Linked DNA regions of Lytechinus pictus. The protein of the gene in region 2 purifies or fractionates together with the protein of the main gene of each other region. This does not show direct contact. Links are inferred from orthologs where the notes say so. Each region holds a gene or a part of one and is shown on either strand. Other genes may lie near its edges.

Region 1 (8,478 bases), on a different chromosome or scaffold from region 2:
TTAATTCCATTTATTTCATTCATTGAAGTAATGTATTTTAATTAAATTCAGTATTAAAGAAAAACATCTTTGTAATGATTTTTTTTGTGCATAATTCTTTGAGCTATACTCATTCATTACATGATGAAATTTAAATGAAAATGTCACAATTTACATGAAGGAGGAAAGTCATGCTACCCAATATTTCATTTTGTTTTTTGAAACTGAGAAGTAGGGTTCACACTTGGACACAGATGTGTTCTCACGAAAGACCAGAGGCTTGAATGTTGTGTACACTCCAACTGAAGTGGAGTGAAATGTATCGATGGGTGAATGACGATCATTGTTGAAATTATGTGTTAAGGTAGATCAAATGATTGCCTAGCCGCGTCTGAAAGTATCGATGAATTGTGTCCGCTTATTACAGAGCATGATGTATATAACTATGTGTGTATTGATGGAATATGTTTGTATAATATAGCTATCTGATTTCAACTATCTTTATGATAAGTTTGGGAAGTGGGATTGTTCATTCAAAAGATTATCATTATACATAATCTTGTTTGCTGTGTGATAACACTGTACAGTTGCTCACAGAACTAACAATTATCAATATTCAAATGTAAAAAGTAACATTGTTTAGTACTAAATATTGGCAGAGAATTCATTTTTCTTGAGGATATGACCCTCCCACTGTGCCAAAAGTAATTTAAAAATGCAGTAGAGGTGTAAATAGAGACCATATAATACTGTACTAAGGGGCATGACATTGTCACTGACACATAATAGGTTGTTTATGTAAATTTCTAACGACCTTTTGTTTCATGTCACACTACTTATGGACACAGTTTGGACAGTCATACACTTGAGGTAGACCCAATTATTAGCCAAAATTCTGGAGATTAATAAATATATGAATTTCTGACATTCAGAAATCATTCAGATCATCTTTTTAGAACACTAGCTTCTGGGCACCAATAATATTTCTGTACAACATGGTGTATGATATTGCTTTGACCATCCATGTCTCATACTTGAAATTTCACATTTGAGATAGAAGTGTTGCAATTTGCAGTGTAAAATGACTGGTTTTGCACTTATGATTGTTTACTCTACAGATGAGCATTATTTTCATTATGGGTTTTCAGTAATATTAGGATTGCACTAGAGTTTTCCCTTCGTGCATGTTGTATGTGTTGTTTTTGTCAAAGTGATTATTTACAATAATGTGATTTTGTCTTGTATTTAATTGGTTTAGTATTTTCCATATTGTCTGCTGAAATGGCAGAATCGTTACAATCCTCAAGCAGACCTACCATTTTCTCAACTATGTTGGTTTACAGCTTGTCGGTCATGTATGATCCAAACAATTATTTTATTATCAGAACTAATATACGTCATATCATGTAAGTACCAGAGGACTGGGTACCAATACTCATCATTAAGATATTAAAAATCTCTCCCAAACTGAAGAGAGAACATGAAATTGCCCAACTAACACCTACCCACTGCTTTGAGGTACCATTTAGAGTCTTAGTTTTCCAATAATTTCATTAATGCGATTGTCATCAATTCAACCAGTTTTCAATGGAAGTTTATTAACGTCTTTTCATGGGTAGGAATACTAACATAATCAATGTGGAGTCTTGAATACATTATGAATACAAAGTATATACATTACTCTTTTAGTTAAAGTCATTGTTAGGTCGGGATTCTTGTAGATCTACTGGTGATTTCCTATCAACTTGAGATTTACCCAGAAATCTCACTGTGCTGCAGCTCGATTTGTTTTTAATGTACATGTACATTCCTGCATTTTGTGAATAAATATTCTGTCCACCATCAAACGTAATGTGCCATGTCATATATTTCTACCAATCATAGTCTTTACAAACTTCCCTGGTTGCAGTGCTGATACAAAGGAGATAGAGTCAAAGCTGTCTGTTACAGCCACCCAACAGAAAAAAAAAAAGGTCTCTGTGGACAGGTGGCATTTTTTAGATGGTTCCGTGACATTTGCTCCGGTGACAACTGCTCCGATTGAAAATCTGCACATTGAGCGAAACATAAAACCTAACCCCCAAAACTAAAAAAAAAAAACCTAATCCTAATATTTACATCATTCTGAACCAAAAACTCTATTACAATCCTAAGTCTAACCCTATGCCTTCTGATATATTAAGACCGGAGCAATTGTTGCAGGAGCAAATGTTGTGTCACCTTATAGACAGGTTCTATTAAACATGTATCACTTTCAAATGGGAGACAATTTTGTTGGCCACTAAAGTAAGGTTTTCACTATAGATAGGTTTGACTGTATTTACATTTGATTGTGGGGGAGTTTCACAAAGCTCTTTGCAAGTGATGTTCACTGTTGAATCCTTGCATCTGATCGGCTGAAAAGCCTGACAAGATTCTTCATGAAGCTCTCCCCTGAAGTCAAAGAAAAGGAGGAACAGCTTAGGCTCTGGGGGATGTGAAGTTCGGTGTTGACCTTTGGGTGCTGGGCTGATTTTTTTTAAATCATCAGTACAGCACCAAATTAAAAATGAAGTTGGTCCTTGGATGAATCTTACTAGATGTTGAGCTATCAGTATCAATTGGGATGAGATTTGCAAACTCACATTGGTTCTTGGATCTAAGGAAGGCAATCTTGATTGTGCTTCCAACCCGAACATAAAGGACTTGCAACTGTTGTAACTTTGCCATTATGGCAACTACCATGGTAACATTGATTCTGATTGGCTGCTGAGCCCTGTTACCATGGTAGTTGCGATTATGGCACAACAGTTGCAAGTCCTTTATGAAACAGGGCCCATTTCATGAAAATTGTTATGATGACAAGTTTGCAAGAACAGCTTAAAGCTCAAGTCCACCCCAGAAAAATGTTGATTTGAATTAATAGAGAAAACTCATACAAGCATAACGCTAAAAATTTCATCCAAGTGGGATGTAAGATAGGAAAGTTATGACAGTTACATGCACACCTTGGTTCTATGCGAAAGAGAGAATCGATGTCTTTGTCCCTCACTATTTCTTTTGTTTTTTATTAATTTATACAATACTTTGATTTTTACAGATTTGGCTTGACTGAACAACAAAATGGTTAAATAATTGTATTCCACATGTTCAGGGAGGAATAGAACTTTGTTCCACATGAAAATGAGAAAATTGTAATATTTTATATTCCACATAATAAAATACAAAAGAAATAGTGAGTGGGTGGTGTCATCAATTCTCTTTTTTGCATACCGACCAGGATGTGCATATTTAAGCGAAATTTTAAAATAGCATAACTTTCTCATTTTACACCTGATTTTGAGGAAATTTTCAGTGTTGTGCTTATTGCATTTTTCCCTTTTTATTCAAATCATTTTTTTTGGGGGGGTGGACTTGTCCTTTAAAGCTTCTGAAATCATTCAATATAATTGGCTAATAGCAAATTTCTTACAGAAATTGTGGACTTAACATGCCATTATGAAACGGGGCCCTACACCAATACCAAACTTGATATCCCCTGTTTTTTTAAACCGAGTTTTCAGCGACATGAATGAAATTGTCAGCTCTGATTACTTCAGGCATATTTTTGGTGTTAATTGGGTGAAATTGGGTCGAGTTGTCCAGCCGATCTGGCTGTTCGGCTTGTCGAGCTGTCTGGACCCCGTGTAAAAAGTTGTGAAATATAGTTATGCAGTGCCAAACTGCTCTCCATTTGGGGTGTCGGCTGTGCTGCGATATCATTTAAAATTAAGGTACCCCAGGTTCTAAAACTGTACTGCAAATGTATTTAAAAAGGAATGTATTTTGGAAGAAATCAACCAAGTTCAAGTAGGCCTATCCGCCTATCCCATCTTCACCCCCCCCCCCATAACAAAATGTTGGCTCAGGGGGGGGGGGGTAGGTGGTTATCGGGCACGTATGAGGTGGCATCATTGCCGGATTGAATTCCTTCAGTGCTGGTGACAGCTTTCAACTTACATAATCTCTATATGCAAAGCAAGCACATAGGTGAGTCTCTCACAGGGGCCGCAGAACCCCGGGGGGGGGCACTCGACCAAAAAAGTGGTAGGGGTGTGCCGCGGGCGAGGCAAAAAACGGGGGCCTTGGAGCGGGCTTATTTTAAAGGAGGGTCCTCGGAACGGGCTTCGGAACTACAAATGTTTGTGAAAACGGGGGTCCTCGGAACGGATCTCCGTATCTCTGTGAGTGCGTATGGAACGGGCAATCGTGCATAACGCAGCTAGCACGGCCTCCGCCGGGTGCGCTCGCGCTTAGGCGATGGTCGAAAAGCGCTCTACGGCCGCTTTTCACCAAAATTGTAGCAAATCAATGCGACCGGAACGGCGTAACGAAAAATATGCGAAGCTCTGGAACGGATTTCTTTCTTCTTTTTTTCTCGATAAGAAGGAAATGCTATGCCTTGGAGCGGCTTTCTTTGTTCTTTTTCTCAATAAGACAAAAATGCTATGCCTTGGAACGGAAATTTGAGTGTAAAAATGGGGGTCCCCTCCGCGGCACATACCCACTATGCATTATATACTGAGTGCCCCCCCGGGCGCAGAACTGTTTTGAAAATGGGGGGGGGGGCGGCTGCATGTCCATATAAAAATCAGGGGACCGTTTCATCAACATTTTTGTCTGACAAGTTGTCAGATCTGACATCTTTCCTTGATTCTGATTGGCTGAGAGGCACTGTTACTATAGTAACTGTCGGATCAAATGGGACTTGTCAGATAAAACGTCCGACAAGTCCTTTCATGAAACGCTCCCCGGATGGTCATTTTTACGTCTTGTACATGGTTTTGAAAAAAATTGGAGGCTGAAGCCACCCCACCCCTGGTTCCGCACCCTCTTTGAGAAGAGAGGAGGCAAATTTCACGACAGGTGAGGGGCATATTACTGATTTGCCCCCCCCCCCCCCCTTCCGAAAACATTGGCATTGTTCCATTACGCTGCCATAGTGCATGCCTGCTGCGCCTATGGTGCATGCGTACGACGACACGTACGTCTCGCGCGCCGTACAACGCCTCGCAAAATTCGGCCATTTAATCATCACGTAAACTCTCGGAGAAGACTGTGCTCTATCTTGATTAAAAAAGAACCACTAAATTTAATCAAAATGGGAACCAACAAAGTTCAAAAGAAGACTAAGGTACGTTTATTAATCATGATTACCATAAGTAAGGTTTGAAAAGTGTGTTTTGAGTGTCATGCTGCTCCCTGTTGACACTTAAAATTCTTCGTTTTCATGGCATGTTGGGATCGTTGAAATTGCAAATGGAGACACAGTGCGTGAACGTGAATGGGCCATGAGGCATGAATGGTGATTGCGTGCAGAAAAAAGCAACACGCGGTCTGTGTGCTGGGCCACGTGGTGAGGCTGGCTGGCGGCGTGCCGTGGTTGGTGAATGGTCTTGAAATCTTACTGAGACCGAGTGTCAGACAACTTAATTATTCTTATGCTGTGCTTGTGTAGTGTCCTCTGACTTAAAATTTATTCATGTTCGTCCATTTTTTTTTTTTAAGGGGGGGGGGTTTGCCCAAATTTGAGTTTTATTAATCTATGACGAGTATGACTTGGCTAGATTTGGACTTTTGGTGCAAGATCGCCACATGCTCCAACTAGTCTGCACAGTGCCCCTTGTCTGAACATTATTTAGACTCAACATGGTGCTAAATATTGAATTGAAAGCATTAAATTCATGGAATATCCCAAATAAAATGCAGCCTTGCTTGACAAAATCCCTGAAACTTGTGCAAAGTGAATTGGTACGCAGACATGGGGCACCATTTTTTTGTTTAATCTAAAAATGACTGACCTCAGTTTTTTCCAAGGAAATCAAATTTCTCTCTAATTTGTGTCTCACCTTCAATCCTGCGTCGTCAACATAGAAATCTTATACTATTACTAGGTTAAGTTTTTGAATTATCAATGTCATAACTTAGAAAAATATGGATAAAACTTGGACATAAATGAAACTTAACATCCTGCCTGGGTTTCAAAATCTTCTTTACCTAGAGTTAGATTTTTAAAATGTCATACATGTAACTAAAAAAGTTTGGTCAAGTGTGTGACCAAAATTATGACAAATCTTGACTTTAAAATAGATTGAAATTCACAGAGCAAAATGCTGAAAATTTCATCAAAATCGAGAACACATAACGGAGTCGGTGAATTTTTAAGTTAAGCAATATTTTGTGAAAATACTGTAGTCGCACGTCGTCATGAATATTCATTTTGTGGGCTGATGTCACATCCCCACTTTTTCTCATGTTATTACATAAAATCATAATTGTTTCATTTTTTCATACATGTGTGTATAACGTGTCTCCTTTAATAAGTTGCAGCAATGAATACCGGTATCTAATGCACTATATCAGTGGTCAATCCAATTTTTTGTAGTTCTTGATAGAAAAAAATTGAATAAACCTAATAAAATACAAAAGAACAAGTGACATCAATGCATAGAATTGTTTCACTGGAATAATCTTTAAAATGCCATAACTTTGTTATTGTCCGATTTTGATCAAATTTTTAGTGTTTTTTTTTTTTTACTTTAATGTAAAAAAAAATCATGTAGGCCTAACAATTATAGGTTTCCGAGTTTATGAAACCCTTGCCTCTGGAAATAGATTATTGGGGCATACGTGTAATTTTTTAAGGGGAATCCAACCAAATAAGGAAAAGAAAAATCAGACGAGTTGATAGGTGAAAGTTTGAACAATATTGGACAAACAACAAGAAAGTTGTGAATTTTTTAAAAGTTGTAAATATTGGTAATCACTATACCCATGGAGACTTTAAATTGGCCGCATATGGGATGTCATAGTGATGTAAGGCAAGGACTATTCAATGTACTCCAATACACATTATGGCTAAAATGTCATTTTTCCCAAAAGTTTTATTTCAAATTATAATTTTCTGTCATGAGGTCTTAAAACAATATACTACCTGGGTTGTATTTAGATTACTGCCCCAGGGGAATGGGTACTTAGGAGAAAACCACAAATCCCTGATAATAAAGTACATGGCCTATGGGAAAGTTGTCCTTGCCCCTTGTCATAATTTACTTACTCAGCTGCCAATTTGAAATCTACATAATATTAGTGATCTCAATTTTAAAGCAGCTATAATTTCTTTCAAACTTTCACCATTCTGTATAATTTATTTTTCTTCCCAACACAACATTTTATGGCCAAGGCTGGATTCCCCTTTAAGATGGGGGAAAATATGTGTACTTGTTTCCGGTACCCTGAGGTCAGGCATTGTTTTAGGGTCCATTTCACAAATGGGTAGGAGTGGTCAGTGGATCCACAGTCTGAGCATCCAACAATCATGCTGCATAATTACCCCTAAAATCATCCTAACTTGAAATTTATCCTTCTGCAGACTATTAGCTGTACACCGACGTGGCCTGGATCTGGAGGAATGCTGCTCTTCATTAATCTTCGTCCCAGTTTTTGCATCTTGCGTGGTGCAAATTGTCTAGATATGTTGACTTGTTAAATTTAATGAAGGCTTAGCGAAGTCTTCTACATGAATGCACGTTATGATTGTGGTTAGATTGGGTCTTGCGTGATCCAATTGTGTTTCGATACAATGTGTTGGAGAGGGGAGGTCTAGCGTGGCCTGCTATATGAAATTAACATGTGGCTGGTTTGTGGGTCTTGCGTGGCCCAAAAGTTGGTTGCCAGAGTGTAAGTAATTGGGTACCTCCAATGGTAGCCGGAAAATGGTATTGAAGTGACCCAGTGGTCTTGCGTGGCCATGGTGTGAAGGGTCTTGCGTGGCCCTTGATCTAGGTATCATGCAGGTAATACGAGACAACGGGTCTTGCGTGGCCTGTGCATTTGTAGTACGGGTCTTGCGTGGCCCTAAGTTACATGTAAATAACTTCTTACGAACAGTGGGAGGTAGTACCAAATCTGCATGATTGGCGGAGAGTCTGTGGATAAACTGGTTGCGACAATGGTACCAAGGCCCGGCTTCAGGCTTTCTTAATAGATGACTGACTCGGCTCGCCCTTCCTACCAATTTCCAGACAGACCAGTTCCACTCTCGCCCTCTATCATGTTTAAGTGGTAAGGTACTTGTAGTTGTAGTTGAGATGCATAACCGATTTGAAGTTTTGGTAAATGATCATCCCAAAAATGCATAACTTTTCCAATTCTTTGCTAATGCCACATTATATGAAACCCCTAAAACTTTTCTGATGGAATGGCAAAAAAAAAATTAGTTGGATGGAATTTGTGTTTTGCATGAAAATTTTGAATCATACATGTAGGATCTTTGTCTAGTTTTATTTTTTTTAATAAAATCAGTAAACACAAAATAAGTGCACAAAGATCCTTTTAAAGAGGGAGAGAAAACATAGTAAAAACTCTGAAAAATTCTAGTTTTCAAAATTTTTGGAGGGTAAAACTCTGTGTCATTACAGAGGGAGGGCACGAGATGTCAAAAGGAAGTTTTAATTTTTCCTAAAGAATCGGCTGCTGAAA
Region 2 (7,631 bases):
GACGACTCAGATTCTATTCGCGTATATATCGGCGAACAACGAATGTGACGATTTTACATTTGCTCATTCGCACCCGTCTTTTGAAACCGACCACCCGCGATACACTAAGTTTACGGCTGATTCTTGTCGCGTTGGCGAAATATTTTGACTCTTCCAAATCAGTTCTATGATGTCAACATGCTAAATGATTGTCTCACTACTTCCACTGCGAGCTCAAGCACATGATTCGACGATTGACGACGGATTTTGTTCTAAAGCCGTTTACTATCAGATTTTTTGGTATGAACAACTGTTTTTCGGCGGGGTTCGGGTCTGGTCAATGCAATTTTGATGAATTCTACTAAATTTTTACATTTTTTGTTGTAAATCGATTCTTACCGTTCCTACGGACACTGCGCCTACTCCCCCTTGCGTATCGTTTGTAATATGCAATAATTTTAATGCGCGCAAGGTGGTCGGTTTCAAAAGAGGTGGTCGATATGTGGTGGTCTCACTCTACCAAATATCTCATAAAATTTTAAAGAAAAATACAGGCGCAGGCGATTCCATTTATTTTGGATCTGTGGAAACACTGTAATGTCACTTGTTCACTGCAACCATCCTGCCTGTGGGGAATCTACAGGTAGGACTATGGTATGCCAATGTTGTACAGAGCACACACTTTAAAAAAATCATTAAAATATCACTTTTGTGACCAAAATTACTAATTTCCATACAGTTGCAATTTATTCTTCATTAGTAACTTGGGAATAATTTTTGTATTCACCAGAGCGCTCAAAAACTTGATTTTTGGGCATATTTTTGTGTACGTCCTCTATTGGTGGAAAGTAGGCAAGAAAATTTTCATTTTTGATCTCTATTTTTAATTAAGAAAAAAATAATTTAAAGAATCAAATTTACTTAAGAGCCAAGTTGTATGAAAAATAGGTGTAATGGAAACTGTCAGTGTAAAAAAATCAAGCATTTGTCCCAAAGAAAAAGAGAAAATAAGCCAAACATTGCCACCCTTATTTTGCCACACATGGAGTAGGGAGTTCGGTGACTTTGAAATCTTGAAGAATCCCAACAAATTTCATATCATTGGAAAGCTTGTAAAATAAGAAAAATATTGGTGCTTCATTCAACTCATTGTCTGATATATTGACGGAGATTATTCTAATTTACAGGGGAAAATATGCAGATTTTGTTCTGTCAAAAAAAATATTAAAGGCTTGGGTGGGGCACTCCTAGTACCAATGAGGTCCAACATTACATGTATGGACCTCATAGGCGACATCAGTAGTATTTTTGGTTAGAAATCTCTGAGAACAGGATATTTAAACATTATATCACAAGTACAAGCTATAATTCCTTTCTCTTATTTAAATTATAATTTTATAGTGTAAATGCATCGTTAGCAACAACAAAAAATGAAAGAAATGAAGGGGAACTTACATTTTCACAGCTTTTTCCTGATTTTCTGGGCAGCTGCTCTTCTCTTCTGACTCGCGATCGAAGCTGATATGAAGATCACGTGATTCGCGTTCTCGTCAGCTGATCGGTTGGTTATTCTTTTCGTCAGACGTTAATAATATATATTTTATAATGCTAGCATTCATCGCTAATTTAGGTGAAAGAGATTGAAGTTAAACAGCGCCAGGTCGGAATCATAATTATTTTGGAAGAGTGTATTTATACACTCGATCTCATACCTGACGTAGACGGCGCTATTCAACAAATGCACAATCTTCAATATAAAAAATAAAACAGAAAGAACGCCTTGAACACAGGCCAAAATGCCTAACGATTTCTCCGCGGCATTAACAACTATCGTAAAGGGCGCTCCATTTATCAATAAAGATGGACGCTAAGCTGTCTATGGCGACAAAATTTGCCGCAAATATTTACGAAGAATTGTGAGAAATGGTCTGAAAATGCAACAAAAGAACCGGTGAGTACCGATTAAACATTATTAAATTTGTAAATAGATTATACATACCTTGTAGATTTAGTTTTTAAGGTGATATTAGTGCTTAGTTCTAAGCTAGGGAGGCCCAAACGCGCGTGAGTGGAGTCCCAGTTTATTAGCACGGGTAAGTATTGGGGTGTCGCCTAGAGTGGGGTGGGGGAGACAGTTTCTTTTTGAAATCTTGAAGGAATCCCAACAAATTTGGTACCATTGGAAAGCTTGTCAAATAAATCAATTCATGTCAAATATTGACAGAGATATGTCTGTTTAAACGGGAGAATGTGCAGATTTTTTTACAGCAAAAAGTAGATTTTCATAACTTACACAAAATGCAATGAATGGGACTGTGTAGGCCTAATACTTTTTTTAAAAGTGCAATGCGCTGCTATGCGGGGCAAGGCATGCCCTTGAACTATACATCATTTTATTCATAGAACTTCAAAGTTTCTCATGGTATACTATAGGTTTCTATAGGGTTTTTCCTCCTCCTTTAATGGCTTCATATTTGTTTTATACATGGGTGCACAGACAGATACAAATTCTGAAAGTCAAAGTGGCATTTCCACCGAACTCCCTAACGTTACATGGAGATATAACCGAGAACAAGGTTATATCATATTCATAACCTTGTTCATTGAATGAGTGTGTAATGTTATTGTTAGAGTCTACACCCCATTCGCTTAGACTTTGCAAAATGCAAGTGATTCACTTCAGCATTTCAGGGATTTTGATGAAAAAGGATGCATTGTTTGTGAGGCTCCACGCCTCCAGTCTCAGTCTCACATGAAATGCCCAAAATTCATTATGTGCAGACTTGGGGAACTTTGCCATACATGTAGTCTACACACTTTCTTTCATTGCACCCAAAGCCAAGGCAAGGCAAAGAAATAAGCACAACATCATACATGTACAACTGCAGCCGGCTTACACTACGCGCAAGCCGTACCCCCATCCATCACATGGCCATGCCAGCCAGCCACGCCGGCGAAACGGAGATCTTGTCATATGGACGCCGCTTGTTTGTCGGAGCCTGGTGCGAAAGTGCATTAGCGCCATTAAAAATTAGACAACATTTTTATTGAATAGAAATCTATAAAAATAATTATTAAATACCGAACTCACGAATCAGCAACTCAAGAAAAGTATAAAGTCTCTAGAGTAGTCCAAATAAGAGTACTTTCACAGATTATGTCTTGATTTGTGATGTTTTCTCTCTTCGAGATCTAGTTCAGTGGCCTCGACCTCCAATCGCCATGTAAGGTCACGTCGTTAGAGGGCGTTTTATGTTTCATGACGAGATATATGGAGGTGCCGTGGCCGAGTGGTCTAAGGCGCCTGGCTATACAAGGAAAGTCCGGGGTTCGATCCCCGGCTACGACACCTATGCTCTTTTATCCTGCATTCAAATAGACGGAAATGCTTTACGCGTTATTTGTAACTAGGTGTGCACTTGTTAAAAAAAAAAAAAAATATATATATATATATATATATATACCGTATATATATATATATATATCCACAAAAGTGGAGGTGCCGTGGCCGAGTGAGTCCGGGGTTCGAACCCCGACCGCGGCACCTATGCCTGTGAGCAAGGTATTTAATGTGTAATGCTCTTTTATCCTGCTTTAAAATAAATGGAAATGCTATAGGCATTATTGGTAACTTGGTGTGCACTTGTTTTTAAAAAATATATCCACCTCTTGATATATTACATATCTATTCTATATATCATAGCTCTTTTATACTGCATTCAAATAAATGGAAATGCTATACGCATTATTGGTAACTAGTTTACTTGTTTAAAAAAAATATATATGATCGATATCTCCATGGACCATTCTGACGAGATTGGCGACAAATCAGCGCTTTGCGTATCACGAAGGCATTTTTTTGTTTTATTAAGTTGTTATTTATTGAATTCATTCAATACACCCATTCAATACAATATCGCTTTTTTTCTTAGTAACATAAGAAAAAAATAAATAATATATATACATAGTTGTTTTATCCTTCATTTGACTTGTCTTCAGGGGCGGTATATTCTAAGAGCACAATAGCGCTCACATATGCGATCCGGCCGGTGCGACGCGATTTTTCAAAAAAAAAAACGCGATTAAAAAAAAAAAAAAAAAACACGCATATATGCATCAAATATGAAAGTTCCAAGAAGTAAAATTACTTTAAATAAAGTTTTGCATATCGTTAGGAAAACTAAAATCACTGTTTTACTTTGCGGCAAGCCCTTTGGTCGGAGTAAAGTCCAAATCGGCTTCAAGTCACAGCCAATGATGACGTCATTATACGATTTGGAATTGAATTTCATTCATTCAGGGATCGCGTCGAGGCTCTAACTGGACTGAATTTCGATTTCAGAAGCCACTACTGTGAAGTCTGATCCGTAATATTAGTTGGAATATCCATATCAATTGTTGGTTATCACAATCAATTTCGGATCGTGTGAGACGAGCTTTAGCGGTCAATTAGCATTTTGGTGTGTCCCTCGGCTTTTTTATATTTGGCAAGGGTGACAATGACCGAAACAATGACAATAACATTTATTCCCACGGTCACCAATAGAGTGGGTACTGATTGGAGAAACAATCATAAAAATGTACAAAATCATCAATGTCATTTCATCAAGTAATTTGCCAATCATTTAGAGTAAATTTAAAAAAAGATCAATAAAAAATACAAATTTTAGCATTAAAAATTATAGTAACAAATGATATAGTACCCTGAAGCTTCAAAAACATATGATTAAAAAAAGAAAGAAAAATTCCAAATAACGACATCATCACATCGTTGGCTATTAAACCACAGTCAAAAAGCTCAAAATATCATATTTCGAGCGTAGCAAAGTTTAGAAAATTTGATAATTAGGCCTACATGAGATAATGGATTAATGCCTTGAAGCTTAAAAACCCAGCTTTTTAAAATTGTAATTAGCATATGCATCTGTCTAATAAAAGGCAAGTAATGGCATCAGCATATTATTGGCTCCAATATTCAATTAACAGCTCAAAATATTGAATTTGGAGCGTAACTTATTGAGAAACGAAGCATAATTTTCCTGCAATTTTTTCAAGGTTGGAACGGATTTCTGGTTTTTCACAATTAAAATGGCTGATTCATTTTTACAGTATTCGGTCTTTCAGTGTAATATTTTTTTAAGATGAAACTTTCTTTCTTTAGCAAAAGAAGGACATTAAACGAATAGATAGTGAAATTCATCACCAATTGATTGAAGGTTGCATAATGTACAAAACCTTAATATGTTCCTTTGACGATTTTCATATCTTCCTGAGGCAAAAGGGTGTCGATGATTTCCAAAACGAAATCTACAAAAACGCGATTCTATCTTTTTTTATTCATATTGATGAGGTAACTTTCTAGACGAAGATTTTCTTTGAATATATAGTAGTTAACACACTGAGAGTTTTCGGTTATGAACGTAAACCAATTATGCAACTGTGAATCCTATATTCGTAGATCTACAGCTTGTTTTACCCAATATCTGCTCGAGGAATCAGAAATGTCAAATAAATTCGTCATGCCCAATCTATTAAGAGTTTGCTTTGGCGTTAACCAACTTGACTGATATATACCTTGATCAGAAAGTATTTTTACAGTCTCGAAAATCATATACTAGACATTTTTGTTTTCCTATTGTGAACTAATCCATACCGTTCATCATTCTTTTCTCAATATATTATTTTATCTAATTTGAATATTTCAAGTTCGCCTAAAACCATGCATGCAGTTTGCCGTTAATATCTGCTTGCAAAATTTCATGTGAAACACTTCTAGATCTCTAATCACATCAAAACCCCATATTTCTGACCCATAGAGGAGTATCGGTAAAACAAGTTGATCAATTCAATTTGGATATCCACTGATAAATCAAGATGATAAATTTTATTCAACGTGCTATACATTGCTCTTCTTGCTTGATTCAGTTGTTTAGCTTGAACTTTCCGAAATCAATTACTATAATTGAAGGTAATTCCAAGATATACATAGTCATCTACTACTTCAAGAGCCTGGTTATTAAAATGTAAAAGAACCCGTTTTTTCTCACTTTGCCACGGGAGAATATAACAATTTTCGTCTTGTCTATATATTCACATTTAAATATCATCTTTTACAATAATCTGATACTGCATTGAGCGCACATTGAAGTTCTTGTTCAGATTTGGCAAGGAGCGTTGTGGCCCAGTGGATTAGTCTCCGGACTTTGAAACAGAGGGTTGCGGGTTCGAATCCCAGCCATGGCGCAATTTCCTTCGGCAAGAAATTTATCCACATAGTGCTGCACTCAACCCAGGTAAGGTAAATGGGTACCTTGCAGGAATTTATTCCTTGAAATATCGAGCGCTGGAAAGGCTGCTTGAACTACACCCAGGGTAATAATATCCAAGTCCTTTGGAAGCGCATAGAGACGTTATTCATAATTGTGATATGCGCTATACAAGAACTGTTTATTATTATAATTATTATTTGGCAAGGACAATGGTATCATACTGCATAAAGTAATGTAAACAACTCCATGTACATATCAATTCCATGATCAAGTAATAATGACTGAAGTTTCTCAGGTAAAACATCAAGACCATCATATCGTTCTCTGATAAATTCTTTAAAATCGTTCATCAACATAGCAAACAGTAAAGGTGATACATTTTCTCCTTGACGCACTCCTATATTACAGTCAAATAGGCCTGATTTTCACCATCTTTGATAATACACGATTTACCTATTATTATTGACCACTTTGAAAAAGTTTCCATTTATATCACTTAAAAGTAATTTGTTCCAAAGTGATGTCCTATCAACAATATCAAATGCCTTGCGATAATCGATGAACGCACTGCCAAACAGGTATAATTCAAGTAACAAAATGTAAAGTAAAAATATGATCTAGCGTTGAATGATTATTCCTAAATCCAGCTTGTTCATTTCTAAGAACACAGTCTTCTTGATATAGATTCAGCCGATGATTTAAAACAGCTGTGAAAAGTTTACCCAGACAACTCAATAAAGTGATACCTCTATATTATTGTTTGGATCTTCGGGTTTCCCCTTTTTCTTGTAAATTGGCCGTATTAAACCAATAGTTAAATCTGTTAGTACAATTCAACTTTCAAACACACTATTGAATAATTCAAGAAGAAAAGGAAGCAGAGAATTAGTTGAGTTCTTAAAAAATTAATTAGGTAGCAAATCTTCACCATTGCGCCTTACCGTTTTTATTTTTTTTTAACTGAGTGATTACCTCATCTCTGTCAATTGGTCTGTTTAAAACTGCATTACTTGTTGGCGATTCAATGATTATTTCACCATTTCTTTCTTTGTGATCTTGATTCAAGTTCCTGAAATGTTCACAAAATGCTTCAATCTCAATATTTCCAAGCGCTCCTTGAGTACGCTTTATGACCATGGCCATGACCGCGCGAAGAGTATATAGTTACGAGACTTTTGGTATTTTGAAAAGTCCGAGTCATAGCCGCTCTCAAACAGTGGCGTAACAGGCGGGGGGGGGGGGGGGGTGCAGGGAGGGCAAGCTGCCCCCCTGGCGGATTTAACCGGGAAAATAATTTTTAAAAAAGGGAAAAAGAGAAAGGGAGGGAAAAGGAAAGGGGAAGGAAAGGGGAAAAGGAAAGGAGGAAAGGGAAAAGTGAAAAGA
Region 3 (8,280 bases), on a different chromosome or scaffold from region 2:
CTCCCCCCCCCCCCTGTCTTACAAAGAATTAGGTTGATCTGATCAACCTAAAGTATATGGAAATCCATTAATGTCATAATTTTTCTTTAGGAAATTTGCACAATGTCATTTGACAACAAAGAGAAGCATACTGAATTGTCAAGAAAACAATGAGTGTATGAATATACAATTTAGAAAATATTTTGACAGACATGTATTTTAGATGACGTTGCTGGCTTTCCATACATGTAGTTGTGGTTGATTGGATCAACCTAACTCTTTGTAAGATGGGACCCACAACATGTGATCTGGTGTATATGGAGGAAGTGGGAGATATGCATGTAGATATCAACATGGAACCAACTTGTGATAAATTCAAATCAATCTAATCTATGGTAGCCAGCCACATAACGCTCGGATATACTCAAATCCATTTGGATGTAGGGGAAAGTTGCATACATGGATAAGATGGATCCAATCTAATCAACATTATAACCTATTCAAGTACACCACGAAAAGCTATGGCAAGCCAAAAGCACCATACTTACTTCTGGAGCAACGTCTTGACCCTGCTCATCTCCTTCTTCCATCTCTACTGAATGGTTGATGTTCAACCGAACTGTTATCCTGTAAGTTCAATATCCAAAACAAGCGGATATCAGGTCAAATCAGATTCAGTGTGGATGTGCAGCATGCACTTTCATTTTCACATTACCATTTCCGGATTGCCCCCATTGTTTTAGTCAAAATACACATCTGGGAATAATGAAAATGTACAATGGTTAAATATTTCAAATCTTATTATGCAGGCCTGTAAACAGATCCGCTAATAGCTGAATTGGGTATTATTTGATTCATTCAATCCATTTACATAATTGGCAAAACACTTGTCTGTGTGTCTGTACAATAACTACTGTCATTACAAGTTGGACACCATGCTCATACATAGGTTTTAAACAATCATCATAAACAAGTAATCTTGCTTTGTTCTCAGCCCTATGAACAAATATTTTGTCCTGTTTTCCCAACTCTAAATAATTTCTTAATACTTTAAAATAGATAGATAGGATGAAATACTGTATACCCTTCCATGCACCACAAGCACTTGGCTGTTGAAAAGTATATACCCTTTTTTCCTGATGTTGAAAATTTTGATACCGTTTTCACTGTATGCATTTACGCTGCCCGATCATGGAAAAAATGACCCGTTCACATGCTTTATTGTCCATCTTGTAAGTGTCCGTGGCCCCTTCTGTATGCCTCATCTCCCAACCATCTTACCTCTCTCCTTCTATATTCCTGGTGAGTGTGATTTCTGCATCATCAACAGTGACTTCAAAACCTGGAATCTTTGGAACGTCCGTTAGACTGCCTTGTTCGACCTCAATCTCTTCTTTCAAGAATTTCACTAAATCACTATCAGCTGTAAAAGGGGAAAAACAATTTGAACAAATGATGACGATGGTGTGATATAATCATTTGAAAGTACAGAGGGGTAACAAAAGTTTCAAAATTACACATACATTTAGACGTTTTTGTAATTAGAACATTGTCCTGATTGATCTTGCCCATCTAAAAGTCATCAAGTTGATTGATTAAAAAAAGAATTAAAAAAATTACACACTGAAAATTTCATAAAAATCAGATGTAAAACAGTGATGTCATTTTCAAGATTTGCTAAATTTCACAAATAGTTGTTATCCCTCAGTCTGGGACAGTGGGACTTGGATAGGGCTATGTGTCTTGAACTCGCCCCATTTGTATTACATGACTCAAATCTAATGATAGTGCACCTATCGGTTATAAAATGGTCATAAATTTAAAAATATTTATCCTATGATCCTATCCATACAAAAGTTGTTTCTTATTGTTCTTTGCTAACGTTACATATCCTCGATATGCATCTGCAGCGTTGTGTGGCGTTGGCGAAGAACAATATTCAATAAGAAACAAGATGGCAGTGTGAACAACGTGCAAGTTTTCCCAGTTTTTTCATATTTTTCGTTTTTTTTAATGAGTTCTTGTTTAAAAATGAAATCAATATGGTAGAAATGTCGGAAATGACGTTGTATCCCATTTACATGATTTAGGGCTAGATCTTTTAGAAGGAAAGTAGAAAATCTGTTGGTTTTTTTTGGAACACGCACATGAATGGGACGCAATCCCTGGCTCCGTGGAGGGTAAGCATACGTTAGTAAATGATTTTTACTCTCTAGGAGCCTCCTGGCTAAGACCAAGCAGGGTCTCACAGAAAATACGCTCAAAATTACATTTCCAGTTCCGCTGAACTTGATCCGTTGGCTCCACTCACCAAATACAGAGACCGAAGTTCTAGCGCGATCTGTACAGCTACAGGGGACTCAATGGCCATATGTTTATGTACTTAAGTTCGGATAAAACAAGGAAGTGAAGTTGCGCGACATCCGAAGTAAGTCACTGTTTTTTCCCCTTTTAAGTTTATTTTCCCCCGTTTTGGTGCATTTCAGGCCAAAACGGAATAATAATCTCTATTTTGGTACAATTCTTTTTCAATATGAAATAAAGACAAAAATCGATAAGCCCCGTCGGGGGGATTTTGCACTGTAAGTCCCCTAATGGTGGCTGCACGATAGCGAGCCGTCTGTGTACGAAAAACTAAATCTAACTCTAAGAAAATAAAAAATGTTTAAAAACTCCTCGAAACAGACGGCTGCCGGCTGCCAGCTTATTCGACTAAGTCTAAGGCAGGGGATTCCTGCTATGAATCATTGCACATCAACACAATTTCTACACTAGATCTATATAATTACCTTCAGTATGCAGGCAAGCGCCTTTACAGCCGCAGGAACAGGTTTTACTTGGCCAAGAAACCCGTGTTGCTCCAGTACCACCTACCAGCGGTCCTAACGTGTCGTCCCCGCGGTTCCCCGTTGAGTTTCGCCGGCTGCCGCTGGTGCACAAATTCCACATCGATCGTGACAAGGTACGCGGTGTTTGACATTCTTGTGATGATTTCAGCAAATATCTGGAGGATAATTTGAAACTACTGAACTGTCTTCCATTGCAAACAGCCCTGCTGACAGCGTTAAGTACTAATTTTGAGGAAGAAAAGGCCATTTCGGGCAGTTTTTCTAACACTACACTATTCTCACGTTCCGCGACGTCGAAAACACATGTGAGTTTTCTCTGTGCGCTGAGCCCCTAGCTAGCTAATTGAAAGTTCCCCGGCCACGATTATGCATGCCCCTGATAGCAAATTATCACTTTAGCGGAGCGGCGAAATAATATCTTTATAATTATGGAGTGCCAAGTGCCCACTTCCTAGTTCTGCTCAATTCTCTATTTCATATCCAAGTTCAAGTTCAATTTATTCAAAAACCAGACATATTATGAGTACAAATCAATGATCAGATGGTACAAAAGAATACATGATACAATATGAACGGTTTTCTAGGACCCCGAAGAAGCACAGCTTGTGAGTGGGGCCCTATACCTCTAAATAAGATGTAGATCTAAATGTATAAAATGACAAAGGAGAATACATAATAAACAGATATATCGACTACAAATATGTACAAAATGTACATTAAACAAGTGTCAGCATAAACACAAACACACTCACACACACACACACACGCAAACACACATGACTAGGGTGGCCAACTACGAGATACATGTAAAACATAATAGACTCTATGGAAGAAAAAACTTTCTAATTTAACTAAGATAATAGATTGTCAAAGAGGTATTTTTTACATTGCACTTTAAACCGATAAAGAGTTGTACAGTTCCTAATATCAGAAGGTAACCTGGACACTCCTTGATACAATATCCATTCAAACATACATTTTCCGAACCTAGAAATGTTCTTTCCGATGAAGTTTTTTTCTTGATCCGTGTTCCTATGGGGATCCTAGGACAATTTGCATAAATCCAAGATGGCTGCCACATGTCCGGGCACATGTCATCTTTGGCAAGGCGTTAATCCACACTTTGCCACTCTCGACCCAGGTGCTAAATGGGTACCCGGCAGGATGTGAAAGTTATTGTATGTTTGAATTTGCCAGCGCCATAATGAGGCTGCGATGAATGCAAGGAATGCTCTCCAGGGAGTGGAAATTGTGCACTTTTCATGCGGGATTGAAACAGCGGCGTAACAGGGGTCGGTGGCCAGGGGGGGGGGGGGGGGCAAGAGCCAAAAATGTCCCAGTCATATCATGGAACAGGCAATGGCGTCATAAGGCAAAAATTTTGAGGGGGCGATATGGCGTATCGGGTAAAAATCCAATTTTGAGATAGATTTTGACATAATGTTAAAAAGATGATATCACATTTCACCCTCCTCTCTTTCCTTTTTTCTCTCTTTTTTTGTACGCCACGGTGAACAGGATTTTTGTTATGATTGTGAGCATCAGGGCGAAGCTCTATATGCTCGAGGGGGCTGAGTATGGCGCTTCTGGCAAGAAGTAGCTTGATATAGGTCCCGAGCGAGCGAAGCGAGCGAGATTAAAAAAAATCACCTTTTTCATGAGAATCAGCTAACATGAAGATAGATTTTAACGTGATATTCAGAAAAATATAATACACTTTCCTTTCTTGCCTCATTTTTTTGTTTGGTTGTAGAACTTTTGGGGGCCATGGCCCAAACTCATCCATATAACAGTGCTTTATGGGTGGGGTCCAGGGCATGCAGAGCCCCGGAACCTCTTGATATCAAAGCCTTACAGATGGCCACTTATTTTAATCAAATTGCGTGTATATTTATAAAGCTTTAACACAACACAAATTCAATGCAGTTGTGTATCGTTATCATCCAAATATTGTGAGGGGCACACCATAACAAATGTGGGAAAATTTATAAAAAGTCGCCAGCGAGAGAAGCGAGCCAGAAAAAAATGGCCTGTTAAAATATAAATTCTAATTATGTGATATATTTTTACATCATTATAGCAAATATCGTGTCATATATTTTTTTTCATTCATCTCATTTCGCTGCCTCCTTTATTTTCTTTTATTTCCCCTTGGCTGTGGAACCACCCCCCCCCCCTCCCCGGTACGCCAGTGCTTCAACGTAAAGCTTAATACAGGAAGGGTTCATATAGGGGCCCGTTATAGAACCCATTAAAGGTTACAGATGAAGAGCCCCCACTGCACGGGGTCTTGACTCTTGGACAGAGCCTTTGGAGATTTAGCAAGTTTATGATAGACTTTCATATACGACATTATGCTATATACCATCCATTTTTCTTCCCGCTCGTTATCTCAATCCTCAGCAGCCCGGTAGTGTACGTTATCTTGTCCCTATTCTTTATTTTCCAATTTAAATTTTGGCTAATTCCATTCTGCCTTTATTTCCCGCTTTTGTTTGCCTTTTTGTCATATTTAATTTATTTCCCTGTCTTACTTATCATGCTAATGTATTTGTATATCGGGCCGAATTGTATTTTCTCACTTGTTCTTTTTTCCTTCCTTTTCCCGTTATCTTTCCGTTTTCCCTTTTTTATGTCTTTTCTGATTTTTCTTTTCCCTTTTCCTTTCCCCTTTCCCTTTTTTCTTACCTTTCCCTTTCTCCCCCCCCTTTTTTTTTCCCGGTTTTTTTTTCCCGGTGAGCTCCGCCAGGGGGGGCAGCTTGCCCCCCCCCCTGCCCCCCCCCCCCACTGGATTGAAATGAATACAATGACCGGGGTAATAATATGCTGTAACGCGCTTTGAGCCATTCTGGGAGAAGCGCTATATAAAAATTGGCTATTATTATCATTATTACGTTTTTTTAGTCTTTCTCCCTATTTGTTTTCCTTTCCCCCGTTTTTTTTTTGCCCATGCCCCAGTGCCCAGCCCCGGAATGATTCGCCACTGGCTGCAATTATACCCTCGCACATTCATGGTTTAAAGATACAACGTCATAAGGAAATTGTATGTATATAGTTATAATACATATCTTTGATTAAGTTTCAAATGACCTTCCTCGTTCGATAACATCCATATTCCAGAAGAATCACCAGCTGCATTCATACTCTATTCACCAGTCTTTCGTGTTTCATTTGCATAGATTGAGAACCATATATTTAGGAAAAGACCCTTTCTTATTTATATACTGGTCCTATTTATTGCAATTATTTTTTTTTGCAGGTGTTTCTGCATTTATTGAAAATATATGAAACACAGTAATCATGGTGAATATAAAGAAATACAAAAATAAATGAAAGAATTACAAATTGTGACGATTACATAATAGAATAATAATTTACATAGATATACATAATTTACAAAGATATTTGGGTAGAACACTTCAATGATTTAACATCTGTCTAATGTTTATACTTTCAAACATCATTTGAAATTAAAGCTCGCTATTCAATACAAATAAACAATTAATTTTGCTGGTATGCTCCAATAAATTATTGAGTATACCATCATAGACGTTTCTTGATATCAGGTTATTCATAATGAATAGGAATAGTGAAATACATTGCTTTAAACAGACGTGTGGAGCGGTATGAGCTGCAATTTGTAAATAGTATTTGTGAAGTGTTGAAAATCTGTACCGGATGGGATAAATGCCATTATATATTCCCCTATCAGATAATGCTCACAATGATATTTATTCTGGCGTATAACTCATTTATCACCCCCCCCCTCTCTCTCTCTCTCTTCCCTCCCTTCTCTTTCAAATATATATTCTCAAAACTTCTAAAACACAACACCTCGGGAAAAAAACATCTGGCCATCATTATTGACACCTCCAAGTATATATTCACCAAAATTACATGAAAAAACAAGTTTAGTTTGATAACACCTTTGCCCTTCTCCCTGGGAAGACACCTCATTCATGTCATTATAATATAGACTTTTTTCCCTGCCACACAAAACAAAGCGATAGATAGAAAAACGCACTGGATTCAATGTAATGGAGAGGATTCGTCGATATGAATAGTCCCAAAGTATCGATCCTCTTTTCATTCTACTGTGATTGTTTCGAGTGGTGTTGTATTATAGATTTGTATAATTGTACTCAATTAATTAGCCATGTGTACCTTTTCATTGTACCAGACAATGCTTTATAAAGTGTTGCCTGTCTATATATTATGCTCGCAATCTAGACAAATTCTTTTTGTAAATAATAGTGATAATAATAATAATCATCATCATCAGCAGCAGCAGCAGCAACAGCACCATCATCATCATTATCATCATCAGCAGCAGCAGCAGCAACAGCATCATCATCATCATCATTATCACCATCATCATCATCATCATCAACACCATCATCATCATCACCATCATCATCCTCATTATCATCATCATCACCATCACCATCATCGTCATCATCATCATCATCACCATCATCCTCATTATCATCATCATCATCATTATCATCATCATCATTATCATCATCATCATCATCATCATTCAGGCAGGGTAGCAACTTCAGCCCTCTTTCTCATGAACTGTTTTCCCATCGGGCCCTTATTACCCTTCTCCATTCTAATACACCTAGAGCCTGTCAAGAAAGCAGATCCGCAGAAGATCCATTTTTTTTGTATGACTCGGCCGTGGATCAAACCCATAACTTTCCGTTCATGAGGACGGTGCTCTATATACAACTGAGCCACCATGTCCAATGGACCGGATACTCATTATCCAGAGCAACAGATGCACTCCACCAACAAATATTGTTTTTTTAGACCAAACAATAAGTTTTGATATTATGTAACTGCTCTGTTGTGGTTCGAGAGCAATTTGCCAGATAGAAAGCATGATAAAATATGTAGGCCTACAGCAATATTACTTAAAATTTATTTATTCAAATTATTAAGAATAATAGTAATTATTATTATTATTGAAATTTATCACATTTAAATATATAAATCAATACGAGCATATTATCACAGCCCGAAATCTACTAAATTATCATCTAACAAACTGAAAGCTGGACGAACATGTGAAATGGACTAAACATACATTAAAAAATATCGTGTATTTACATGAAATGAACAAAAAATGTTACAAAAGAAATTTTTTTCGATTTTTTATGAAGCCTAATATTATCCAAGATATAAAGGTTCCTTGAAATTCCTAACAATATTTGACGAAAATTCACTGCAAATTTTGCTGTACATTTTCAAAAACTTAAATAATATTCTTGCTCACATTTATTTCAAAGGTTTAATGGTTATCTTATGAGGTAACACGGTCCAAATCAATTGAATTCACTCCTATAATATGTTACGCCTAACGCTGTAATTATTTTATTTCATAAATGCTGAAAGCAATTTTTTTTGTCACGTTATGAAATGATATTGTACAAACTCATTCTCTATT
Region 4 (7,573 bases), on a different chromosome or scaffold from region 2:
TCTAGCTGAATTTTCCCTAATTTCACAAACCCTTAGAAAAATTGGCATACTGGCTATTTTTTTTTTTTTATTAGAGCACAAATGGTCAAAAAAAGATCTTTACACTCCACATTCCTCACTTGAACCTAGGAAGTGATTCGCTAGGTCCATAGGAGAGCTTGTGCGTCACAGACTGTAGATGGTTGGACCATAGGGTGACCCTTTGATTGTGAGCAGAGCCATCAAGGGATTCAGTCGAGTGAAGGAAGCTACATCTTTTTTTAAATCTCTTTTTGGCAGGTTCATAGTTAAAGGGTGGATGAAGAGGGTGATCTTCTTGCTCGTTTTTCCACCTTTGCTGACACCTATCTTCTGATGTGTGAATGGGCAATACCACACAGTAGGTAGAGATCATCTGCTCTTGTTTTGTCGCAGCCAGTAATTGCTCTGCAAGCAGCATTCAGGGCTGTATCAATCTTTGCAGCATGTGATGACCTAAAACGGATGGGGACTGCATACTCAGCAGTCTAGTAGCATAGAGCAAGAGCTGTCGCACGGATGGTTTTGGCATCTGTTCCCATTTTATGTTGGCAAGCTTCTTCAGGATGCTGTTCCTTGCTCCAACTTTAGCCTTTGTCTTGGAAACATGGTCTTTGTAGGTAAGGGAACTGTCTAGGGTGACGTCAAGGTAGATTGGCTTACTGGTGTGTTCCAACCATTTTCTATACCATCTGAACCTTAGTTATTGGTCTGCATCTCTGTTTTTTAGGTGAAAAGCACTGAGTTGGGTTTTTTCTGGATTTTCCCAGAGATGATTTGCAGCGTAGTAAGGAGTCATGCCTACCAGAGCATTGCTGAGTGCTTTTTCATCTCTTCAGAGGACTGTTTCTGTGAAGCAATGCAAATGTCATCAGCGTACAGGTAGCTCTCACTATTTGGTGGATTGGTTGGTCATTTGTGTAGATGCTAAAGAGTGGGACGATGATTCTTCCTTGTGGGAGACCTTTTCTGTGTCAGCCATCTGCTACTGAAACCACTGAGATGCACAAAAACTGCTGATTTGAGAGCATGCTCTGAATCATCTGTGTTAGCTAAAGCCTTCCTTTGTCATCTCAAAGACTTACCTTGTGAGTATTCGATGATTGTGTCATAAGCTGCAATGAGGTCAACAAAGGCTGCTCCAGTTATCAACCCTTTCTCGAAGCCACCATCTTCAATGCACTGTGCCAGATTCAGCAGTTGACTAGTACAGGACTTTCCGGCCTAAATCCTGCCTGTTCTGGAATGAGGAGCTCATTCACCAAGGGAGCAATGTGGTTGAGTAGGAGCCTTTCAAAGATCTTGTATGTGTGACAAAGCAGAGATATGGGCCGGTAGCTCTTTGCAATGGCTGGTCTTTTGCCTGGCTTGAGTAAGGCAACTACCCTTGATTTCCTCCATAAGTTTGGCATTGTGCTTTCACTCAGACAGAAGTTTAGCATGTCAAGCAGCCGTTGGATTGCAACAGGTCCAAGATGTTTCATCTGCTCACAGATCGAGGACATCATCCAATCCAGCTGCCTTGCTGATCTTCATTGCTTGATAGCATTGCACAAGTCGTTCATGCTGAAAGGTCTTGTGAACTCAGATGACTCTTGGCAGGCTGTCCGCACACTTTTAGGTTGGATCTTCGCGGGTGATTATGAGGGTTACCTTGGTTGTTCACTAGAAGCTGGTGGCCACTTGGCCGGCGGTAACTTGGGACCTAGATTGGGACTTTGTAGAGTCTTTCCCAAGGATCCGAATCTGCATGGTGTTTCTGCCGGTCCTGAATATAGCTTGTACGGCATTCTTGTGGAATATTCTTCCTTGATGATTTCTTCAGCAGCTCTAAAAATGTGTCGTAATGAGTAGGGAGTGCAGGGAGGTTCTGAAGATATGTATCCAGATCTATGGCAAACTGCTCAGTTTACTTTCTTCAGGTTGAAAGTCTGCAGAAGGGAACTTTGCGAGGAGTGATGTTTACCACGGCATCAGGCCATTTGCAACATTGATATTTATCATATAAAATTAAATTATTTTATACACTACCAAAGCAGCAGCAACAATAATATCAATGTTTAGCAACCTACGTGTATACTTTGGCGGAAATGAAAGAAAAATCGGACTCTACATATTTTTATTAAAACTTTTCTGGTCTGAGCCGTTACCATGACAATAGGCAATTTGCAACATTGATATTTATTAATAAAATCAAGCGTTCCCAAGGAAACATCAATTTTTATCATTCTAATGAATTCATGCAGAATAATTACGTAATTTTGGTTTTGGTCATGTAGATTAGTTCGTTTTTACTGTACATCCCACCATTACCTTTTTCAACATGTTATTTTTTACCAAATAAGTTGGTATTTGGTTGCCATGGCAATGGTCTGAGATGGTACTTACATATTTACCAACAAGCATATTTATTTTTAGCAACCTAAACTTAGCGGAAATGAACGAAAAAAATGTGACTCTATATGTTTTTATCAAAATGTGTTCTTTTCTGATAAAAATAAGATGTTACCATGGCAACGGGCCATTTGCAATATTGATATTTATCTTTAAATTCAAGCATTCTCAAGGCAACATCAATTCCTACCATTCCAATAAACTCATGCATAACACTTATGTAGTTTTTATTCTAAATGAGTGGGAAAAATCCAATGCATGTAGATTACATGTAGGTCGCCTTTATTGTATTTCTCGCCATTGTTTTTTTTTACCATGTTATTTCTTTTTTTACCAAATTAGGTATTATTTGGTTGCCATGGCAATGGAATGAGAGTGTATTTATACATTAAGCAAAAACCACTCCTATGTTTAACACCCTAAACGCCGGGAAAATGAAAAAAAAAACAGATTCTACAACTGTAAATCAAAATTTTTACTTTTCTGGAGGAAAAATGAGCAGTTACCATGGCAACGGGCCAATTGGAACCAATTTGATGATCTTAAATATTTTCGAATTTCATTTGTATTTAATTGGAACCCTGAAATCAATCTATTGGCTAATTTATATCATGTTTATCTACCATTTACAGGGGGATACATGCAATTTTTGAGAAATTAATCCGTTGCCATGGCAACGGTCCAAGACGGCATTTATAAATTTGGCAACAAGCAGATTCGTATTCAGCACCCTAAAAATAGGGGGATAAGCACAAAAAATCAGATTCTACAGAAAATTTTTGGAATTCTTACTACTTGCCGCCTACTAATATGTCATGCATTTGCAGAACAGTAACCTAATCATGTCGCGGGAAAAATTGGAACATGCGCGAAAGTCATTGTCGCCCTCTCTAGTCGTGCCGGGGTAAAGGGGAAATCCCGAATCGTTGACTCGAGTCGATCGACTTTACACACGAGTCGGGACACGGAGTCCAATCAATTTGGTCCCCATCTCGATATTTCTACCAGATTTAAATCCCCTATTTACGTAAGCCCAAGTTTGGTTGCTTCATATTTCTCTTTTTCTTTTCAAAAGATTATACCTTTTTACAAAATCAATGTGATGATTGGAGGTGCTTGGAAACTTGGAAGGATTGGGAGTGATGGCCATAGGCGGCGGAAGCGGGGGGGGGGGGGGGGTCCTTTCCCCCTAAATTTGAGGTGGGGGACGGTCCCCCTAAATCTTTTGTTGATAACTTTTTTTTTTGTCAAAAAATTTAGGTGGTTCCCCCTAAAATTTTTGGTTGATAACTTTTTTTTTTTTTTGGGGGGGGGGCCTTGTTAATTTTGTTTCCTGCGTCCCCCCTAATTTTTTTGGCTTCCGCCGCCAATCGTAATGGCGGCTAGGAAGAGGCGCTTTATAGGAATGGGGAGAACAGGTTGGTCAATGAAAAAGATATGCTTACAGGAACGGCAGGACAGGCGTTAAAAGGGGTCTAAAGGACAGCAAAGAAAAGTAAAGAAAGGAGGAAGAAGAATAAGGATGAGAAGAAGAAGAAAAGAATGGAAAAGTCCCAAGTACAGGAAAGGAGAAAAAGGTGGAGGAGAAGAAAAAAAAAGAAAAGTACGAGAAAGGAGGAAAAGAAAGAGAATGGGGAAGATGGGAGAAAATATTAAGAGGATGAGGAGAAAGAGAAGGCAAGGGGGTGGGGTGGGAGGGGAAAAAACCCAAAGAATAAGGAAAATATAATAAGGAGGAAAAGAGAAAGGAGGGGGGAAGGTATACAGGAGAATCAACCAGAACAGAGAGTAAAGTAAGAAATGGGTTGAGTAGATGACTAGTGGGTGATTACAGGTATATAAAGAAAGAAGGAAAATGAGAATTTGAAAAAGAAAAGGATAATAATTTATATTAAATTATAAGAGAACATGAAGAAAATATCAGGGGGTAGCAGTAAAACAGAAAAGGAATTATGAATGGTATATTTTAATTCCAGATAATGCTTCTTCAATATTATTTTTATTAATTCACATCACGCTAGCCAAAATTTACTATATCCTACCCCTTTTTAATCACTTAGTTTGCAATGCTTTGGAGTATATTCTAAAAATTGCAACTTAGAAGGGCAAGGGCGGGGGGGGGGGGGGGACTTCCTGGCTCATATTATAATTTAACTTCAAACGTCGTTTATATCAGGTTTAAAAATCTGTGTCTAACACAAGAGGCTTGACTAATTGCCTGGCAGCATTTATCCACATGATTGTATTAAATAATATAATCTTTTTATGATCTTTTTTTCATCTTCTCAACGAGCATACCAGACCGCAAGTCCAGATTCATTATCCCAGATTGTTAATAGATTTTCAAACATGCATAATAAAAGGACTATCAGTGGAAAGGATAAATTAAAGGTCATGTCCATCGCAATCATGTCACCAAAAGTTGATTTGAAATAGATTCTGAAAAAAATCCAACAACCAGAAATTCATAAAATTTTTATCAAAAACGGATTACAAAATGAAAGTCACAAAATTTTAAAATTTTCTGCTTATTTTGGCATGTTATCCAAATGACAGAACCAATAATGTCACATAGTATTATTTTCTTTTGTATTTTATGAACCTAGTTATCTTTTTAAAAAGCTTTGCGGATTTGACACATGAGAAAGTCTTCAAAAGATTGCAAAACTTGCAATTCCACATGTCCAGGGAGGAATCAAACCTTCAGTTATTTCACATCGCAATGGGGAAAACATTAAAATATTTCAGATTTAATACAAAAGAAACAAATAGTGAGTGGGTCACTCAGGACGTCATTGATTCCCTCATTTGTAATATATCTGTTTTGTGAATCTAGCAAAATTATAAAATGTCATAAAGTTCAATTATTTATGTTACAAGAAAAAGTTCCTTGTAGGTAGAATAACACACAAGAGAAACAAATTCAAGAATCCTTTGATAACAAAAGGTTTATTGATATCAATACAAAAAATATGACTGTATTTACAAAATACATATATATGCCATAAATCTGACAATAATTAATAACATATAACAAGTATTGCAAGTGAAATAACAAACTAATTCAGATTTTACAAGTTTTTGGTCACAAAAGAAATAATTTACCTGCTTGATATAACTGTAACCAATATTTCTAACCACTCTTTATTTCATGGTGCCAACCAGATCTATCTCAAAATAACTTGATAGAGTCAAGGCCATTTAAAAAAAGGATGACTAATCAAAACTGTACATTTCTTTACTTCCCATTGTCCAAAATTCTGATCAATAATGGTCTACAATAAACTTAAATGCAATACAGTGGTGTCAAAAAGTTAGTGAACCCCACCAGAAAATGCACTCTTTCATGCTGAGTGTTGAATGTAGACTGCACTACATTATCCCGAGAGTCCAGAGAAACAAACTTTACTGAATGTAATATTTTATCAACTGACTTCACAAGTAAATGTCTAAAACATGGCAAAACTGAACACTATAATATATGTTCAATTTCTGTTGGGGTTCACTAACTTTTTAGCACACTGTATATTCATTGTTATAATATACTTATTTGAATAAACATATTTTCAAGAAAAAAAATGATTCAACAGAACATAATTTCAAATAAAAATGATAAAATTAGAGCTGTCACTTTAAATGAAGGACACATAATTGGAATATTCTTCTACTTGAACAAGGCATTTCATAACAACCCATCACAACAGTTTACTTTGCTCTCTAGATTATGTCTATACTCATCAAATGGACAATATCACATGGACCTAGTTCAGACTCTCTTCTACCCCCAATGCAGTGTGCCAAAGGGCCCCATTTTAGGACCACTTTTATTCCTCATCTAATGACATTACGGAGCTTCACTTTTTTTTGGTTCTGATAATTTGAATATCTTCTAATTTCACAAAGATCCTCGTTCATTACAAATTTTGAATGCTGGAATTGTTAATGTATCAAGCTGGTTTAAATTGAATAAACTTTCTGTCAACAGAGGCAATGTCAATTTCAACTTCAAAATCATGGCCCAACAAATTATGTTCACACACTTTTTTTTTGTACTTTGTCTAAATTTCAGATTTTTTCTCTAGGGACCTGTGCCCCCAGACAATGGATTCACCAATGTATCTACTTACACATATACTCCCTGAAAGCCATGTCTTAAAAAAATATGATCTACACCTAATACTCAAATTCCCTTACACAAATTCACAGTAGTTGTCTCTTTCACATACACATGCATCAATCTAGAGATCATCAGTTATGAATAGTCAAGAAGATGCCACCTGAATATTTTTATATAGGAGATCACCATACATTGAAGTTAACAATAGCAGTCTCCTGCAAATTCCTCACTGATTTTTGTTTTTATTTCTATAAGAAAATGATGACTCCAAATACATTCTTAGTGGTGTACAAAAAGAGTCAAAAGTACCCCTAAAAAGAGGTCAAGAGGGGGGGGGGGGGGGAGCATAAGTGACACTGGATCCACCCCTGAATATCACTCTTCACCTCAGATCTTTTTCCCTCCTGCTCATGCTACAATGTCAAAATAATTGTATTTTGTTGGAAAACAATAAAAAATGAAGTCAAAGAAACAGAAATAAATCAATCAAAGCAAGTGAAGGACTTGCTGCACTGTTAAGAGTAGGATTATGATGGGTAGACATGGGTTAATGGACAAGGGTCAGCTATGGGAATAGGACTCTAATTCAAATTCATTGGTTCTCCAAGCCAATTTAAAACAATATTAGGCCTCTTAGAAATAATTAGAGGTGTAATATCTCCAAGTATTACTTCAGGACTCACCATTGGTGACTTTTTAAGAGAAGTTTTGTGTCTGCTATTTCGGCAAAAAAATTTAAAATTTCTGCTTGATAATAATTATGATATTACTTGATTTTGATCAAGAGCTAAATCTAACTAAAACTTTACTGAAAGTTTTCATTACCTTTGGAAAGAAACCATTTCAGAAAATATATGATTTGAATATTTGAGTATAATTTGTTAGAAGCTTTTCATATTTCACACCATTAGTAAGATAAAAGTGTTCAAAGGGTCTTTTGAAAAGAAAATGGATGAGATGGAACTATTAATTGTAATAATATTAATAGCATAGTGGTCACTTCATATTGTAAGAATGATATATTGTATATTGAACATACTGTAT

The links.
Region 1: the proteins of ATP-dependent RNA helicase A-like (region 2) and nucleolin-like purify together in Homo sapiens (affinity purification with western blotting; 3 studies listed by BioGRID, with this or other methods). This does not show direct contact. The link is inferred for Lytechinus pictus from reciprocal best matches to the Homo sapiens genes DHX9 and NCL.
Region 3: the proteins of ATP-dependent RNA helicase A-like (region 2) and complement component 1 Q subcomponent-binding protein, mitochondrial-like purify together in Homo sapiens (affinity purification with mass spectrometry; 3 studies listed by BioGRID and IntAct, with this or other methods). This does not show direct contact. The link is inferred for Lytechinus pictus from reciprocal best matches to the Homo sapiens genes DHX9 and C1QBP.
Region 4: the proteins of ATP-dependent RNA helicase A-like (region 2) and FACT complex subunit SSRP1-like fractionate together in Homo sapiens (co-fractionation; 3 studies listed by BioGRID and IntAct, with this or other methods). This does not show direct contact. The link is inferred for Lytechinus pictus from reciprocal best matches to the Homo sapiens genes DHX9 and SSRP1.

The regions. Positions count from the first base shown.
Region 1 is NC_087258.1:12,360,601-12,369,078, forward strand, and holds the start of nucleolin-like, read left to right. Parts: upstream 1-5,012; 5' UTR 5,013-5,098; coding exon 5,099-5,131; intron 5,132-8,478. UniProt on the Homo sapiens protein: Nucleolin is the major nucleolar protein of growing eukaryotic cells. It is found associated with intranucleolar chromatin and pre-ribosomal particles. It induces chromatin decondensation by binding to histone H1.
Region 2 is NC_087256.1:29,477,121-29,484,751, reverse strand, and holds the start of ATP-dependent RNA helicase A-like, read right to left. Parts: upstream 3,224-7,631; 5' UTR 3,062-3,223; intron 1-3,061. UniProt on the Homo sapiens protein: Multifunctional ATP-dependent nucleic acid helicase that unwinds DNA and RNA in a 3' to 5' direction and that plays important roles in many processes, such as DNA replication, transcriptional activation, post-transcriptional RNA regulation, mRNA translation and RNA-mediated gene silencing.
Region 3 is NC_087246.1:21,877,133-21,885,412, reverse strand, and holds the start of complement component 1 Q subcomponent-binding protein, mitochondrial-like, read right to left. Parts: upstream 3,259-8,280; 5' UTR 3,076-3,258; coding exon 2,769-3,075; intron 1,403-2,768; coding exon 1,261-1,402; intron 607-1,260; coding exon 528-606; intron 1-527. Other genes in the region: beta-1,3-galactosyltransferase 1-like, read right to left, coding at 8,276-8,280.
Region 4 is NC_087246.1:34,904,489-34,912,061, forward strand, and holds the start of FACT complex subunit SSRP1-like, read right to left. Parts: upstream 3,311-7,573; 5' UTR 3,205-3,310; intron 1-3,204. UniProt on the Homo sapiens protein: Component of the FACT complex, a general chromatin factor that acts to reorganize nucleosomes. The FACT complex is involved in multiple processes that require DNA as a template such as mRNA elongation, DNA replication and DNA repair.